Linked DNA regions of Saccharomyces cerevisiae S288C. Changing the gene in region 1 together with any one later gene gives a genetic interaction. Each region holds a gene or a part of one and is shown in the gene's direction. Other genes may lie near its edges.

Evidence for each region.
Region 2: mutations in FUS2 (region 1) and SDD1 together harm fitness more than expected from each alone (negative genetic interaction), as found in Saccharomyces cerevisiae (one large-scale study listed by BioGRID).
Region 3: mutations in FUS2 (region 1) and SRV2 together harm fitness more than expected from each alone (negative genetic interaction), as found in Saccharomyces cerevisiae (one large-scale study listed by BioGRID).
Region 4: mutations in FUS2 (region 1) and YLL066W-B together harm fitness more than expected from each alone (negative genetic interaction), as found in Saccharomyces cerevisiae (one large-scale study listed by BioGRID).

What each region holds. Positions count from the first base shown.
Region 1 is NC_001145.3:735,164-740,565, forward strand, and holds FUS2 (Fus2p), read left to right. Parts: upstream 1-1,762; coding exon 1,763-3,796; downstream 3,797-5,402. Other genes in the region: tethering complex subunit PEP5, read left to right, coding at 1-1,471; TRI1 (Tri1p), read left to right, coding at 4,022-4,702; RNH1 (RNA-DNA hybrid ribonuclease), read left to right, coding at 5,103-5,402. UniProt on the Saccharomyces cerevisiae protein: Promotes cell fusion during zygote formation.
Region 2 is NC_001137.3:44,146-47,965, reverse strand, and holds SDD1 (Sdd1p), read left to right. Parts: upstream 1-2,244; coding exon 2,245-2,946; downstream 2,947-3,820. Other genes in the region: HAT2 (Hat2p), read right to left, coding at 1-798; phosphoacetylglucosamine mutase PCM1, read right to left, coding at 3,041-3,820. UniProt on the Saccharomyces cerevisiae protein: Acts as an endogenous target of the ribosome quality control (RQC) pathway. During translation, the nascent chain has a propensity to stall ribosomes, thereby stimulating activation of the RQC pathway.
Region 3 is NC_001146.8:363,761-368,821, forward strand, and holds SRV2 (adenylate cyclase-binding protein), read left to right. Parts: upstream 1-2,980; coding exon 2,981-4,561; downstream 4,562-5,061. Other genes in the region: THO2 (Tho2p), read right to left, coding at 1-1,957; U2 snRNP complex subunit YSF3, read left to right, coding at 2,273-2,275, 2,398-2,652; mitochondrial 37S ribosomal protein uS4m NAM9, read right to left, coding at 4,835-5,061. UniProt on the Saccharomyces cerevisiae protein: The N-terminal domain binds to adenylyl cyclase, thereby enabling adenylyl cyclase to be activated by upstream regulatory signals, such as Ras. The C-terminal domain is required for normal cellular morphology and growth control.
Region 4 is NC_001144.5:3,389-6,826, forward strand, and holds YLL066W-B (uncharacterized protein), read left to right. Parts: upstream 1-2,216; coding exon 2,217-2,387; downstream 2,388-3,438. Other genes in the region: YLL067C (Y' element ATP-dependent helicase), read right to left, coding at 1-527, 627-913; YLL066C (Y' element ATP-dependent helicase), read right to left, coding at 2,732-3,438.

The sequences.
Region 1 (5,402 bases):
TTTATTGAATCTATTGCATAACCCTGTAAAAGCCATAAAATACATAAAAAGTTTACCAATTGATGAAACCCTAAGATGCCTTGTGACGTACTCGAAAAAATTACTGGAGGAGTCACCGAATGAAACTAATGCTTTACTGATAGAAGTATTTACAGGGAAGTTCAAACCATCCACTTTTGAAGTGGATCTGGACCGGAGAGATACGACGGGCGATTTTTCTGAAAATATTAGAACAGTTTTTTACAGTTACAAAACATTCTTCAACTACATGAACTCAAATGGTACATCAGACGCAATGAGCGAGTCTTCAGAGGCATCCCACGAACATGAAGAGCCTACTTATCATCCGCCGAAGCCATCCATTGTTTTCAGTTCATTCGTTACAAAACCTTTTGAATTTGTTGTTTTCTTAGAAGCCTGTTTGGCATGTTACCAGCAGTATGAGGGTTTTGACGAAGATAGGCAAGTAATTTTGACTACTTTATATGACTTATATTTGAATTTGGCGCAAAATGATGTACCCGAGCGTATAGACGACTGGCGTTCAAGAGCAACTGGCGTATTGCGTGAGAGCAATAAATTGGTGTATTCTGCCGCAAGTAATAATACTAGCAAAAGGGTGGATAACTCAATAATGCTGTTAATTTCCCATATGGATCAAAGTAGTGCTTCAGCAAAAGATAAGACGAAAATTGACATAGCTTCATTTGCCAATGATAACCCCGAGATGGATTTGCTGAGTACATTTAGGGCTATGACGTTAAATGAAGAACCAAGTACTTGTCTCAAATTCCTAGAAAAATATGGCACAGAGGAACCCAAGCTCTTACAAGTAGCATTGAGTTACTTTGTTTCTAATAAACTAATCTTCAAGGAGATGGGCGGTAATGAAGTACTGAAAGAAAAAGTATTGAGGCCAATTATAGAGGGGGAAAGAATGCCACTGTTGGATATAATTAAAGCGCTATCCCGTACAAATGTAGCCCACTTTGGGCTGATACAAGACATCATTATTGATCATGTCAAAACCGAAGATACAGAAATCAAAAGGAACGAAAAACTAATTGAATCTTACGATAAAGAGTTAAAGGAGAAAAACAAGAAGTTGAAGAACACCATTAATTCAGATCAACCTCTCCACGTACCCCTGAAGAATCAAACGTGTTTCATGTGTAGACTGACATTGGATATTCCTGTAGTTTTTTTTAAATGTGGTCACATTTACCACCAACATTGTCTAAATGAGGAAGAAGATACTCTAGAAAGCGAGAGAAAGCTCTTTAAATGTCCCAAATGCTTGGTGGACTTAGAAACCTCCAACAAACTTTTTGAAGCTCAACACGAAGTAGTTGAAAAGAATGATCTTTTGAATTTTGCATTAAACAGTGAAGAAGGTAGTAGAGACCGTTTCAAAGTCATAACAGAGTTTTTAGGTAGAGGTGCCATCAGTTATTCTGACATCACTATTTAATGATGGATCATAACGATCTATTGTCGCCGCCGCGTCACAAATGCGCCCCGAACTTGTCGCGAAGTTAATCTGAAACATATATGTTACCTACTGAAACAGCGCATGTTGGAAAAGACAAAGGTGAAGACGAAGTTGTATATTTAAGATAGACCCTTTATACATCCTTTTGAAAAAATTATTAATGTGGCAACCGTCTTTTATTTGACAAAGTATCTTTTTTCTTTGTGAAACCAATTTTAGGTTTTCTTGTTATAGTAAGTTCTTAAGAAAAAGACAAGAAAACCCCTTGCGATGTTTAAGACTTCATATAACTTGTACGATTTGAACTATCCGAAAAATGATTCATTAACGCCAATAAGAGACTACAAAAATGACTATTTTCATAAAAATGATGACAAATTACCAGAAATTGTTAGAAAACCTACGAGAAAGTTATCGAAACATGAAAACAAACTCAACGATAAAAAATTCACGAATAAACGACCAGCAAGTCTGGACTTGCATTCTATAGTGGAGAGCCTGAGCAATAAAAAAATTTACTCTCCTATTAACACAGAGATATTTCAAAATGTCGTGAGACTGAATTTGAGCCCTCAGATTCCCAATTCTCCTCACGAGGGATGCAAATTTTATAAAATCGTACAGGAGTTTTACCTCTCTGAAGTGGAATATTACAATAATTTGTTAACCGCAAATAACGTATACAGAAAGGCATTGAATAGTGATCCAAGATTCAAGAATAAACTTGTCAAGCTTGATTCAAGTGACGAGCTATTGCTTTTTGGGAACATTGACACTATTGCGTCAATCAGCAAAATACTGGTAACGGCAATAAAAGACCTACTTTTAGCCAAGCAACGTGGGAAAATGTTGGATGCGAATGAATGGCAAAAGATATTCACCAAAAATGAGGTACAACAGCAGCTATATTCAACTTTTGATATTTCAGAGGCGTTCGAGCAACATTTGTTAAGAATCAAATCCACCTACACAAGCTATTTTGTTAGCCACCAAAAACAAATGGAACTATTTACTACATTAAGGATGAATAAGAATCATTTTTTTAACAAGTGGTATGAATATTGTTTAAAAGAGAGTGGATGTATAAAGTTAGAGGACATATTGAAAAGCCCGATGAAAAGACTGACTCAGTGGATTGATACTTTGGAAACTTTGGAAAGCTGTTACGAAGATATTCTTTCGCCAGAATTGGGCTTGAAACTAAGCCCGACAAGAAGAAAATATTCTTTATTTTCCAATAAGTTAGAAACCGAGGTCTCCGAGTATAAGAGTAATTCCATGTATAATTTCAGTTTAACCCCATCAGAGATTATACAAAGTTATGATGAAGATCAGTTTACACACCTTTTAAAACCCCCAGACAAACAAAATAAAAATATATGTAATGCATCTCGACAAGAGAGTAATTTGGATAATAGTAGAGTTCCTTCTCTTCTTTCTGGATCATCGAGTTACTACTCAGATGTATCAGGGCTAGAAATTGTCACTAATACTTCAACTGCCTCAGCTGAGATGATAAATCTAAAAATGGATGAAGAAACAGAATTTTTTACATTGGCAGATCACATCAGTAAATTCAAGAAAGTAATGAAAGGTTTGTTAGAATTAAAAAAGAATTTATTGAAAAACGATCTGTCAGGCATTATTGATATCAGTTTAAGAAGAATAAATGCATGGAAAAAGGTGATCGAGTGCGAACGCCCTTCTGGTGCATTTTTTGCGCACGATAACTTAATATCGACCATGTGTTCTTCGTACATAGATAAACTGCATGAACAAAAAAATCAAGTAACAATTTTGAAACTCACAGAGCTCGAAACAGATGTGATGAACCCACTTGAAAGAATCATAGCCCATTGTACTACCGTTAAAAGCAAACTAAAAGATTTGCAAGCTTTGAAGAAAGATTACATGTTATTTTTACAAGAAAAAAAAGCAAATGTGCGAGATATTAAACGTGACTTGTTGGGAATGCATTTCCAAAACCTGCAAAACCAGATGAAAAGGGAATTACCGGTCTTTATTACTTTGATCCACGATACTATCGAATGTATCTTGTTGAACTATATCAAAGTCTTCTTAAAATATTTGGAAATCATTGCTGGTGGAAAAAAATACCTGCAAAAAGATCTTGAAAATATGTCTCTTAATGACTCTATAGCTACCGGCCAAATTAAAAATCTTGATATTTTGCAGTGTTATTCTAAATCACGATATATGACAAAACGCATGGTAAGAAAAGATTGGCCTTTCCCTGGAGACCCTAGTGGAAGCCGTGTTGTCAGAAAACTTTTCGAACTTTAACAAAAGAGTATATTTAGCTTATAGTTTTTAGAATGTTTTGTTTTCTTTTTTATTAAAGTAGTACTACTGCGCTGGAGCAGTATATATGTTGAACTATAGTCAGTCACCTATAATTTGTTTGCTGGCGCGAAGGAGAAAGAAAATTTTAATTAATTCATGAAAAGCCTTAAGAAAAAGTTTAAGAGGAAATGAGCAAATAGAAGGCAAATAGAGGGTGAAAGCATTATGGCCGACATCAATAAATATATTCCGATGGTTGACGCTATTTTGAGCGTATCCAACCCCGATGAAATAAGCCCAAAAAGGGTGAGGAAAGCCCTGCAAATTCTCTATTCAGTTAATTTGGATTCACAAAGAAAGTTAATTAATGAATTGATTCTTGAGAGGTTCGGCGATATACAAGAAAACCCAAGAGTCTTAATTCCGAAGAACGACCTCATTAGTCGGGATCAAGAACTATCTTTGAGGTTACAGAAGGAAGAAGAAAGACCCTTGAGGTCTACGAGGAAAAGGAAAGGTAAAAGTGAAAGTAAATCTAAAAGGAAGAAGAAAAAGAATGATAGTCCTGATTCCAACAGCATTTCCGTCCGCAAAGTTCTGTTGTCAGCTCCTTTACAAAAGTTTCTAGGATCTGAAGAACTGCCACGAACGCAAGTAGTGAAGATGATATGGCAGTATATCAAAGAGCATGATCTTCAAAACCCAAAAGATCGTAGAGAAATTCTATGCGATGAGAAGATGGAACCAATTTTTGGCAAAAAAATGACGATGTTTTCAATGAATAAACTCTTAACTAAGCACTTGTTTAATCCCGATGAAATTGTGAAACATGAAGAGGAACAAAAGCAAACACCCGAAAAAGAAATCAAATTGGAAAACGAATCTCTTCCCAATTTAAGCGGTTGATCTTGGCTGTAGCACTTATACAAATTTAATGATTTTTTTTCCTCTTTGATGACATGTATAAAGCACACTGCACCTACTGTATTGTACTTGAAACAGGTAAATTAACAATTAATGTAGCATTAGTAATAAATAATTTCACTTCACGGCGTTAAAGAAATACTATGGCAAATTCGATTTGAGAATTTCGTCAAATTCTGATGATATCAATTAATGGCATATTTTTTTTATTTTTTATCTGGAGAAAAAAATGTAAAAATGACAGCAGCATCAACAATGAATAAAAGCAAGTACAATAGTCGTAAAGATCTATATTAATTTCATGGCAGCACAATAATACACGTTGTTTAAATTAGTTAAAGTGTCACTCCTTGCTTATCGAAGGAACTATCGATTCCTAATTATGGCAAGGCAAGGGAACTTCTACGCGGTTAGAAAGGGCAGGGAAACTGGGATCTATAATACATGGAATGAATGTAAAAACCAAGTTGATGGTTATGGTGGTGCAATTTATAAAAAATTTAACAGCTACGAGCAAGCGAAATCTTTCCTAGGTCAACCAAATACTACATCAAACTATGGAAGTTCAACGCATGCTGGAGGGCAAGTTAGTAAACCTCATACCACTCAAAAGCGAGTTCATCGAAGGAATCGGCCACTTCATTATTCCTCCTTGACATCGTCATCAGCATGTTCATCTTTA
Region 2 (3,820 bases), on another chromosome or scaffold:
GAGGTTTGAGGAATGATGACTAAATGCTAATGTGTTGAAAGGTTGCGGGCATTTCACAGTATCGATCGTAGTATTGTTTGCCCTGACGTCATTTATTTTTAAGAGAGAATCTTCTGAAACAGTGCCGAATAGATCTTTATTGAAGTTGTGCCATTTATTATCATTAATAATATCAGAATGTAAATCATTCCAAGTTCGTACTGGTTTTGTAGGGTCACCGCCACTCCCCACTTCCCAGAGAGCGACTGTATGATCATCTGAGCCGGAAAGCAATCGCCCTTTGACCAAAGTGCTAAATGATAAAGCATAACCGTTATCCTTATGAAATTTTAGTGTTGACTGAAGACCTTCTGAGCGAGAATAGAGGAAAACTGTGCCTTGCCCATTTATTGTGGCGACAATATTAGGGTCTTGAGGCATATATCGGGCTCTAGTGATTTCTTCTTCGTGCTCATATTTAGCGGTAATCCTTATATTTGACCTAGGAGCAGGTAGAGAGGACTGATACTCCTCTCCTGCTTCTTCTTGTGGGTCTTCATTACTAAGAATTTCCTTTGGTAGATTAATTTCTGCGAATTTCAAATAGTTTTCTTCTTCACCAGAAGTGTGCGTACCGATGATTAATTCTTGTTTAATAAAGCCACCATCTAATTCTTGAACAGGAGTAGGGAGCCATTGGACGGTTAAAGATGGCCATGTTAAACGTGTCTCGCTAACAAAGTCATACATTAATGGAACATTGGATTTCCATAAATCGTACTCCTCGTCTACAGAAAGCGGTTTCTCTTGGTTTTCCATAGTTGATTGGTAATTTGCTATTTGGTGACTACTAGGCTAACCACAATTGATAGGAGAGATAAGAGAGGCAGAAGTATTAGAGGCATAGTAACGTCTTTCTAGTTATTCTCCATTATTATTTTCAAGGTTTGTCTTTGTCATGTCGACGAATGCCAGTGAAAACATCCGTACACCTCACAAATTGTTATTTTGAACAGAACAGACGAGCTACTCATCAAGTATCAAATAGACTGAACAAATGACCTAATCTTTCTAGATTACTCCAAAAGAAAAAGCTGAAAGGAAACCGGTTAAAAACATGAAAGCTTTCTGTAGGGAAGTTTTTTCCTCGCTCTGCTCCTGAGCCTACAGGAGCATGGAAATGGTTGAAAGGACCGAGGAAGAAAGGGAGCATGTCAAATAGAACAAGAGGAAAAAAAAGGTGAAAACAGCTATTTTAAGCAGCAGAAGTTTGAGTCAGAAATGCCTACAATATATGAGAATTTCTTCGCACATGGTTTAAAAAAACTAAATAATCCGCGTGATAACGTTCTCACCAGATTATGAAATCAAATAACAATGCCCCACCTGTATATTGCGATTGACGTAAACGGTAATAAATGTAAAATTTAACATAAAAAAGGGTAAAGAAAACAAACTTTTTCAGGGGTCATCCCTTTTTGTTTTCTTTTTCATTCTTATAAATCAAGAGTATTTTATCGGTAGACAGTTTAGCCGCCGATTTTGTACCGCAGTCCAATATTAGTAAATGTTGGGCACCACTTTGAACATACCGACTCATTGAGACTGCAAGAGCAATTATTTTATATTCTTCTTGAGGCGCCGTTAAAGAGAGAATGAACACGACAATTATCTACAGCATGCAATCGTGGTCAGAATTCTAACTTTTTGTCTTATAAATGCGCACGTATTATTTTCATTTATGTATATATAGATAAATCAGAGCATTGAGTAGTAAAACTGAAGGCTCAAGAGTTCTGATACGCGATGAGAATTCGTGCAGTTAGGATGTCAATTTTGCCAAAATTGGGACGGGCGGCTGCCGTCCGGGGATTCCATGAAGAGAGTGGAAAAAAAAGTGTCACTAACTTCCCACAGGTATCCCCGACACCCTATCCTGCGCTAAGAAAGCCAATCGGCTGAATGTGCAATTGATTGACGTTGAAGGAAAAGAAAAAAAGGAGAAAATTGGGGCGATAATAACAATCACAAACGTCTTCCACTTTTTATCAAATGTTGCGGGAAGAAATAAGGGTAAAATGCCTTGTGTAGGTTCATACATATATAAATAAGTAAGGAAGTTAAAAGAAACCCTTCAAAATGTAACCTACATCATGCGTAGGCTTAATATTAAGCGGAGAAAATCGGCAAGCCCAAGCTTATATTCATATTATGGAATACAAAAGGCGAAAAAGAAAATTGACTAGTAACTAAATTGAAAATTAAATGGCAAATGATGGGATTCAGAGGAATGACAACAGAAAGGGTTTTAAAACTGTACAGTTCTCGGCTTATTCTAAAGAAATTGACGTCATAATGAAAAAAATATCATTCTTGGAAAGAAACATTACCCAACAACTAGATACTCTTCCTCATTTTCCAAAAACCTTACCACCAAATCACAAAGATTGTGTAAGTAGAAAGCACAGGGCCAGGCGAGGTTGGAGTAGTCAGCTGAAAAACTTGCTAGGCATTTACTCCAAAGAGGAAATTTTTACTCTGGATAATTTAGCTGCAACACTGCATGATCAAGTTTTAAAGTTACAAGCTACACTTTTTCCCAATGCCATACTGAAACAGGTTCATCTCGACAATGCCAACATAGAAAACAAGAGAATTCTGAAGGAAATTACATATAAATACCTTTCCAACGAAAACTGTAAAGAGGAGAACAAATTCGGAACATTCATCGTAAAGAGAATTTTTTTTGGTGACTTATCACTCGGGGTTTCCGTGTTAATCAACCGTATTGCTTTCGAATCGGCCACATCATCCATTATGGTAGTGAGAAGTTCATTTATTGAAAGTGATTTCTTTTATGAAGATTATTTGATTTTCGATTGCAGAGCGAAACGACGAAAAAAATTGAAGAGGAAAATTTTGTTTATTTCCACTACCATGAATTTCAATTACCAAACCAAAGTCTAAGCCTGTAACAAACGTTGATTGATACCAATATTTTTTCTCTTTCATTTATCTCTCTGTATATCTAAATAGCTATACTATACATCGAATAATGCTTTCAAGCAGATGCCTTAACGTGCTCCACCACTTCGTCACAAAATTGACCTAACTTAGAGGAGTCCTTACATTCCGCATAAACCCTCACCGCATCCTCCGTACCACTGGCTCTGACAAAGCTTCTTCCCATGGGATACTTGGCTACCACAAGATCTATCTTGTCTTGCAACCCCACTGGATTGAGCAATTTTCTTTCCTGGTCCGTGGTTTGGAAAATTGACCTATCAGGAACGATGCACTTAACCAGCTTGTTGGGCAAATCAGTATACTCTTCATCCCAATCCATTGGCGACATTTTCAAAATCGCCAAAGTAGCAAGGACAGCAAGCATGTCTGAAATAGCATCTCCCACGGTCTGATTAATCAATTCAGAGAAACACTTCAAAGTTCTCAAAGCTAACGTATCACCATTTAACTTGGACTTGGATAATTCAGATTTGATAGTTCGATGAAATTTTTCGCTGAATATAATCGTACCATGTCCATTTGCTTCGAAATAAATGCCAATATCGTACTGAGTGGCAGCTTCATGATGCAAGTGTTTAACACCTGTCTTAGTGCAAGACACGGGACAGTGCAACGTATTTTTTATGTAAGCGGTGGAACTGCCGTTTGCATAGGCAGTTTGCACAACACCAATCTTCAAAGAATGTTCTAGGTGTGCCAATTCTAGTTGTTTAGACAAGAACTTTGCAAACAAAGTGGAAATTTTGTCACCATCCAACAAATGAAATTTTGATCCTGAGTCGACATAGTAGAACACAACCCTGTCTGCGTCACC
Region 3 (5,061 bases), on another chromosome or scaffold:
TTGCGATTGTATCTATACTCAAAGCCTTCAAAATACTCTTCGCTTCTCTTTCGGCCTTATTGAAGCTCACCTTAAGCGGTAGAATATCTTGGGATAATTTCGTCATCATTTCGTTGTAAATAAAATATCTTTTTTCAAAAGGGAAAAATTTCATTAGTTCGTAAACTTCCGATGTGGCAATTGGATTGTTCTGCAATAGCGAGGTAGCTGGAAAAATGAATTTTCTTACATAGTCTATCCACTTATCAATCGTAACATGCAGAGACTCAGAACCGTGGTTCTTTTGAATGTCAGCTACCCCAATACGTGAAATCTTACTCAAAAGCGTAGGAATTCTCCCCAAATACGGTCCTATGATAGATAAATAGATATGCGAGTTTTCAAATAGATCATTTACAGAAGCAAAAGGAGTCAAATTGGAATTCCACTCGCTGTAATAGAAGACGTAGCTTGAATTCAATTCAAGGGATTCAAATGGCTCGTGAGTTTTATATTTATGGATCAACCTTGGCTTATGGGCTAGAATACCATTATCTATACGGGTTATCATCAAAGCAGTTGCCATATCTTTTGATTCACCAGATGAGGTCATTGATGTGTACAATGGATTTAAAAGATATTCAAATACTCTTCCCAAATATCTAGATAAGGATTCACTAACATATAACACTTTCGGATATTGCTTTAACACATGTATCACGGGAATAACGCAACCATGTATGAGTAAGCGTTCCAAGAGTTTTATTTTACCAAATAATAAAATATCTTGCTGAGTTTTCTGCTTGCCTTTTGATTCTATATCAGCGTTTGTTTCCTCAGAGATTTTATCCTTCATATTAACATCATCATTTACAACAAGGGCGTTGTCTTCGTCAGTTTCATTTTCAGTGGACAAAGCAGCTGCCATAGCCAAGGGATTTTCTACGCCTTTAGTGGACTCCTCTTCCAGTTCAGTTTCTAAGTTTTGAATATATTCTTGTAGAAATTCCATCTCTGGTTTAACGTTATCCCAAATAGAATAAAAATTGACAAACCCATTTTTCAGTAAAATGCAACACATATCCATATACCGTTCATAGTTTTCCTTATCGACTTCTTCGTTATATTGCGATAAATTGAATGAAATAATGTTTGCTGCAATCATATTACCGCCTTCATTAAGAGAAGAATAATTGGAATTGTTAGCTACATGGCTAGATGGCCAAGAATCCGACTTTCGTAAAAGAGCAATAAAGAACTTGTACCCTTCAGTGATAAACTGACTAGAAACGTTCAAAATAACATCTAAAGTACGAATAGAATCCAAGGAATATTTCCCCATAATATGATAGATTTCTTTCAAATATGCGGACACTTTGGAAAAATTGTCGGGATCATAATACGCCAATATTAATAAGGCTACCAATTGACCATAACCCACTGAATTTTCTACCAAAAGGTTATATTTCTTCAGTTCGTATTTTGACTTTTTTAACAAATGCCTTAATAAGGTGGTTTGTTCCTTGTTGAGCAGCTTAGAGGATATCCAACTAAATTTGAACAATTCTTCATGCAACGACGGTATTAGTTTACATAATGATATGGTTGTTAGATCATTTATATTTGGAACAGTGCTTGAGACGGCGATAAACATTTTACCAACTATGGAAGCCTGGGACACTTGCCTTTCATGATTCACTAATTCATTAGTAAATGATGCAACATCAGAAAGCTTGAGGGGAGAATTTTCATCGTTTTTATTTATGAAATCAAACAGTTCAATAAACAAAGTCCTCAACCAGTCTTCCTTTTCATCATTTGACTCCAGTGCAGTGAAATCGGAGCAGAGAGTTTTTGATCGTTCAGGCCAGTTTCGTATCACCTCTTCCGTTAAAATGCTTGCCTGACTAGGGGAAGCTGGTGGTATCACTTTTTGAGAAAGAGCGTTCAATTTGGAAAGTAGCGTCTGTTCTGCCATAAAGTCCTGAAAATGTATACTGGTGCGAATATGTATCAACTGAAACCGTTTCACCCTATTATGCTTTAGATAAAGACGATAAAATCACAGCCCTATAATTTATGCAACAGTGTTTGCTTCTAAATCAACGTGTTCCCTGGGCATAAACTCTCATACGTTATGTCGCTATTGAAGAAATAGCGGAAAATCTTACGCCGAAGTTAGCGTTGTCACCCGGGAAGAAGAGAAGAACATAAGCCTTCTCATTCAGAACATGTAAATAGTGGCTAAAATGGTTATATTACACAATTCGAAACAGTGAAATTAAGAAAAGAAATGGTATGTTACGTTCTATTGCGCTTTAGTTTGAATTGAAATCATCTTTACCATGGTACTAACTACGCTTGCGATGAATCGTGCAAGTCCGTGCGGCTTATACGTAATGCTAATACTCAAAACAGGCGGAAAAGCAGAGGCAGTTGAAGTTGCAGAAGATATACAAACAAAAGTACATCGGACTGGGAGATGAGAGCACTACACGAGAACAGTGGCAGAGAAATGTGAGAAACGATACACTAAATACATTACAAGGCCACTCCGCATCTTTGGAGTACGTTTCATTGAGCCGAGGAGACCTTAGTATACGTGACACTCGTATTCACCTCCTGAAATCCATGTCCCCTGGCTATAAAGCCTACTTACGAGAAGAGAGGTAGGACGTTGAAGCCACATCCATAAATAATTTTTACATAAAATTACGCCTCGTATGTCGTTCTCAAGATTTATGGTAGAGATCACACTCAGTCAGTAACCTTTTAGGCATTGATTCTAGTAACTGTCGAACATTATTAACCTTGATGTTTATATAAAGATATAAAATGTTGGGACAGTATACAATTCATATCGTTTAAAATGATCTATACATGTCGCGTGAAGTCATAAACAGGGATTTAGAAGTGAAATCTTTTGGTAGTATAGGGGAAAACTCAGCTTGAAACTTTTCGTAATTGAGTAGGCCAAGTTGCAACCGTGTGAAATCGAATCATGCCTGACTCTAAGTACACAATGCAAGGTTATAACCTTGTTAAGCTATTAAAAAGGCTAGAAGAAGCCACTGCAAGATTAGAGGATGTCACCATCTATCAAGAAGGTTATATTCAGAATAAATTGGAGGCATCTAAAAATAACAAGCCTTCCGACTCCGGGGCCGATGCGAATACTACGAATGAACCTTCTGCAGAAAATGCTCCTGAAGTAGAACAAGATCCGAAATGCATAACTGCGTTCCAATCTTACATCGGTGAGAATATTGATCCGCTGGTAGAATTATCAGGAAAGATCGACACGGTGGTCTTAGATGCTTTGCAGTTGCTAAAGGGAGGCTTTCAATCGCAATTGACTTTTTTAAGAGCTGCTGTGAGATCAAGAAAACCGGATTATTCTTCTCAAACTTTCGCTGATTCTTTAAGACCTATCAACGAAAATATTATAAAGCTGGGTCAATTGAAGGAATCAAACCGTCAAAGCAAATACTTCGCATATTTGAGCGCTTTATCTGAGGGTGCTCCTTTGTTCTCCTGGGTTGCAGTGGACACTCCCGTGTCTATGGTCACAGATTTCAAGGACGCAGCACAGTTTTGGACTAATAGAATTTTGAAAGAATACAGAGAGTCTGATCCTAATGCTGTTGAATGGGTTAAGAAATTTTTGGCCTCTTTCGATAATTTGAAAGCCTACATTAAAGAGTATCATACTACTGGGGTTTCCTGGAAAAAAGACGGTATGGATTTTGCTGACGCGATGGCACAATCAACGAAGAATACAGGTGCTACTTCATCTCCTTCGCCAGCAAGTGCTACAGCGGCTCCAGCACCACCACCTCCTCCACCAGCCCCACCAGCTTCCGTCTTTGAAATCTCTAATGATACACCAGCAACGAGTAGTGATGCTAACAAAGGCGGTATTGGCGCGGTCTTCGCCGAACTAAATCAGGGTGAAAATATCACTAAGGGTTTGAAAAAAGTAGACAAATCCCAACAAACTCACAAAAATCCTGAATTACGTCAATCCTCTACAGTTTCTTCCACAGGAAGTAAATCCGGTCCACCACCAAGGCCAAAAAAGCCATCAACATTGAAAACTAAGAGGCCTCCTAGAAAGGAATTGGTAGGAAACAAATGGTTTATTGAGAATTACGAAAATGAAACTGAATCTCTGGTTATTGATGCAAATAAAGATGAGTCTATCTTCATAGGTAAATGTTCTCAAGTTCTTGTTCAAATAAAAGGAAAAGTTAACGCTATCTCGTTGAGTGAAACTGAGTCATGCAGTGTTGTTCTTGATTCTAGCATTTCCGGTATGGATGTCATCAAATCCAACAAGTTTGGCATTCAAGTTAACCATTCCCTACCTCAAATCTCCATTGATAAATCTGACGGCGGTAACATCTATTTATCCAAGGAATCCTTGAATACTGAAATCTACACCTCGTGCTCAACTGCTATTAACGTCAACTTACCAATCGGCGAGGACGATGATTACGTAGAATTCCCAATCCCTGAACAGATGAAGCATAGCTTCGCTGATGGTAAGTTCAAATCTGCTGTTTTCGAACATGCTGGTTAATATTGCGAGGAGCATTAATTGTATTTAGTTAAAAGAAATAAATCACATTTGAATCAATCAGAAAGAAAAGTGAATGAATAAACAATTATATACTTTTTGTAAAACCTTTTTTTCATGTGTAACCTTTTCTTAAAGAAGTAACAGGAAAACGAGGAGCGACTAAGTGACTACTTGATCGTTCGAGTAGAACTTAAAAACAAAAAAAATTAAATATTTACAGTGTAAAGAGAGGCTGAAGATCAGTCAAAAGACGCGTGCAACAATACACGACGATCATTTACCATTTCTCAAGTAATACATATATGCACGTTCATGAACAGGAACATCAAATGGTGAAATTACTTCGGATTGGCCTGGTCGAGCGACGGGATCCCTTAGGTATACAGCGTGGCATGTCTTGAAAGATATTTCCAAATGATGAGGTAAAATGGCGAAAGGCGATAAAAATGGTCTTGGCTTCCATGGTGTGAAAAAGGGTTTTTTAGGATCTTGCCTACCAT
Region 4 (3,438 bases), on another chromosome or scaffold:
CCACATTCAAGCAACCGCATCGGCCCAACCTGATCATGCAATTAGCAAGCAACACTGTGTACGGTACAAACAGAAACGACACATATTTCACGTCGCCCTTAGACGCCAGTGCTATCAAGGGGAGATGAAATAACTCCGTCTTACCATAGCCCGGTGGGGCCTGTACTGCCACAGAGGGTGTGTCTGCCATGTATATTTCATGACATAAGCGCAACTGATGCAAGTCCCTGAATTCAAAGGAGCTGCCAAAGAGTTTCTGGCCTGCGACGAGGATATCGTTTGTACTCTTGGGCTCTCGGGGCCTTTTTCGCGTTACTCTTGAAATTTTTTGATCATGATCTGAACTCGCCGCCTCACCTGCCACTACGTCTTCCGCATTCCGAGTACTAGAGAATGAACAATGGTAGTCGCTTTCAAGGCCTAACCATTGAATCCAGCGCTCGGAAGTGAGTCCGTCAAGCGTCTTTAGTCGAGGCTCCGATGAACCGTTCTTGTTGTATCGTCGACGTATACGTTGCGCTGTAGCTCTGGATAACGGTAAGCGTATCACCGTAAGCTCGTCAATTATTTTTGAGAGCCGCGGTCATTTTGTTAGTATCTCTTCTCAACTTGGGCAGCACACATGCAAAACATCACCCAATCGGTCCTTTTTGTTCATCATATCGTTACATATCTGTGAAAAGTACTTTATCTCAATGGGTTTACGTGGGCATAGATCACGCTTCAGCCGCTCTGTGTCGACTTTCTTTTCGCCAGGTAAACTTGCTTGGTATGCAGAAAAAATCGATAGCTCATCTACGTGTAGTAACAAAAACATGTGGGGTGCCAAATTGTACCCATATCTCCTTATGGTGCTTTTCTGAAGACTCCTTACAATAGGTGCGCCAGAAACAAAGTCAGTGAAAGTACGCATCGTAGAGCTGTCGTTCGGCCTGGCACTCGCTATTTCGTGACAACGTTCCAGGACACGGAAACTCAACTCATTATAGTATCCTCTGTTGAGGTAAAAAAGAGAAAGGGTATCGTAATCCTTTCTATTGAATTTCAAAGTATGCACTTGAAACAACGTGTAGACCATCAAGTTGATTTTCTTGGGAATAAGATACTTTGAAGGGATTGGTCCGCCCTGGAAATCTGGTTCGTCTTCAACAAACGTCAGGAACTTTTGTACATTTTTCCCGACCATGACGGAAACGACAATTTTTTCAAAAGACCTTTTCCTATCCATTGCACCAGTTCTGAATTTTACCACTTTGATTAGGCCAGACTTTTCGTCTTCGTAGAATGACCGCACTTCCGTGGGGATCGATTCAAATAAAGTTATTGAGGGACAATGTACCAAGTCGTTTTTGTTATTTAGAGCCGACTCAAACTCGTCAAAGTTTGCTTTTTCAAACTTACGCCTATCGGAAACTTTCATTTTATTTTTGTAAGTTTCGAAATTAACAATAGTATGTTGATTGTTATGCTTTTTGACAAGAAATCCATCAATATAAACAAAAGATTGTCCAGTTTCCGTCTTATCATCATCTAAGAATGTAATAATTAAGCTACTCTATTGAGAAGAAGCAGAATCTGCGCTATGCAGGTGCAAATCTCCAGCAGCAGCAAAGAAAATTCAGTTAATAAGAAATCTCACTAAGATAAGCGACTGTCTGTCCCAACATAGAAAACAGAAGGATGTCTCATTCATCCTTGATTTCCGGCCTGCAAAAATAAAGTAGTCGGTACGTACGTTCGTTTTCAATTTCCATGGTGCACAGTATCTTAACTATCTGCTTAGTCGAGGAGAACCAGGATTCTGTTCGTTGCTCAGCCGCTTCGTGGATATTCTCTTGGATACTTTAAATATGGACCTACGCTTAGCCTGCGCTTAGCCTACAACTTCTTCCGCTCTCGAAAAGACCAATATAATAGAAAGTTATAAATTACATTTCCTTATTAGGTATACGACCTCGCGCTTCGAAGTAGAGGAGCCCTTTTTGGCGTACCTACATATGGCGCGTCAGACAGACAAACTTCCCCCAAAAATGTATTACCCTGCCGAATAAGAAAACAGACCCATTCACCCACGACGTATCAAGTTACTTCCTTGGTGCAATGTCCCACTATAAAAAAATTCCTTGACGCTAGATCGTTGGACTAAAATCTGCGTCACAATCGCCTAAACAGGAAATATTGCCTATTTTCGTACAAGGTTACTTCCTAGATGCTATATGTCCCTACGGCCTTGTCTAACACCATCCAGCATGCAATACAGTGACATATATATACACCACACCCACACACCACACCCACACCACACCCACACCCACACACACCACACACCCACACACTCTCTTACATCTACCTTTACTCTCGCTGTCACACCTTACCCGGCTTTCTGACCGAAATTAAAAAAAATGAAAATGAAACCCTCTTCTTTAGCCCTACAACACTTTTACATAGCCCTAAGTAGCCCTCATGTACGTCTCCTCCAAGCCCTGTTGTCTCTTACCCGGATGTTCAACCAAAAGCTACTTACTACCTTTATTTTATGTTTACTTTTTATAGATTGTCTTTTTATCCTACTCTTTCCCACTTGTCTCTCGCTACTGCCGTGCAACAAACACTAAATCAAAACAGTGAAATACTACTACATCAAAACGCATATTCCCTAGAAAAAAAAATTTCTTACAATATACTATACTACACAATACATAATCACTGACTTTCGTAACAACAATTTCCTTCACTCTCCAACTTCTCTGCTCGAATCTCTACATAGTAATATTATATCAAATCTACCGTCTGGAACATCATCGCTATCCAGCTCTTTGTGAACCGCTACCATCAGCATGTACAGCGGTACCCTCGTGTTATCTGCAGCGAGAACTTCAACGTTTGCCAAATCAACCCAATGTGGTAACAACCACACCTCCGAAATCTGCTCCAAAAGATATTCCAGTTTCTGCCGAAATGTTTTATTGTAGAACAGCCCTATCAGCATCGACAGGAATGCCGTCCAATGCGGCACTTTAGATGGGGTAACTCCCAGCGCAAGCTGATCTCGCAAGTGCATTCCTAGACTTAATTCATATCTGCTCCTCAACTGTCGATGATGCCTGCTAAACTGCAGCTTGACGTACTGCGGACCCTGCAGTCCAGCGCTCGTCATGGAACGCAAACGCTGAAAAACTCCAACTTTCTCGAGCGCTTCCACAAAGACCGTATCGTCTTTTGCCTCCCATTCTTCCCGGCACTTTTTCTCGTCCCAGTTCAAAAAGTACTGCAGCACCTCTGTCTTCGATTCACGCAAGTTGCTCCATACTTTATAATACAACTCTTTGATCTGCCTTCCAGACATGCGGAAAACTTGGCTCCCTTGCTTGCCTCTTGTCGAATCCAATACACTAATTGTTTCTCTTCTTCTAGTAATGGCCAGGTACCAAGCATAAT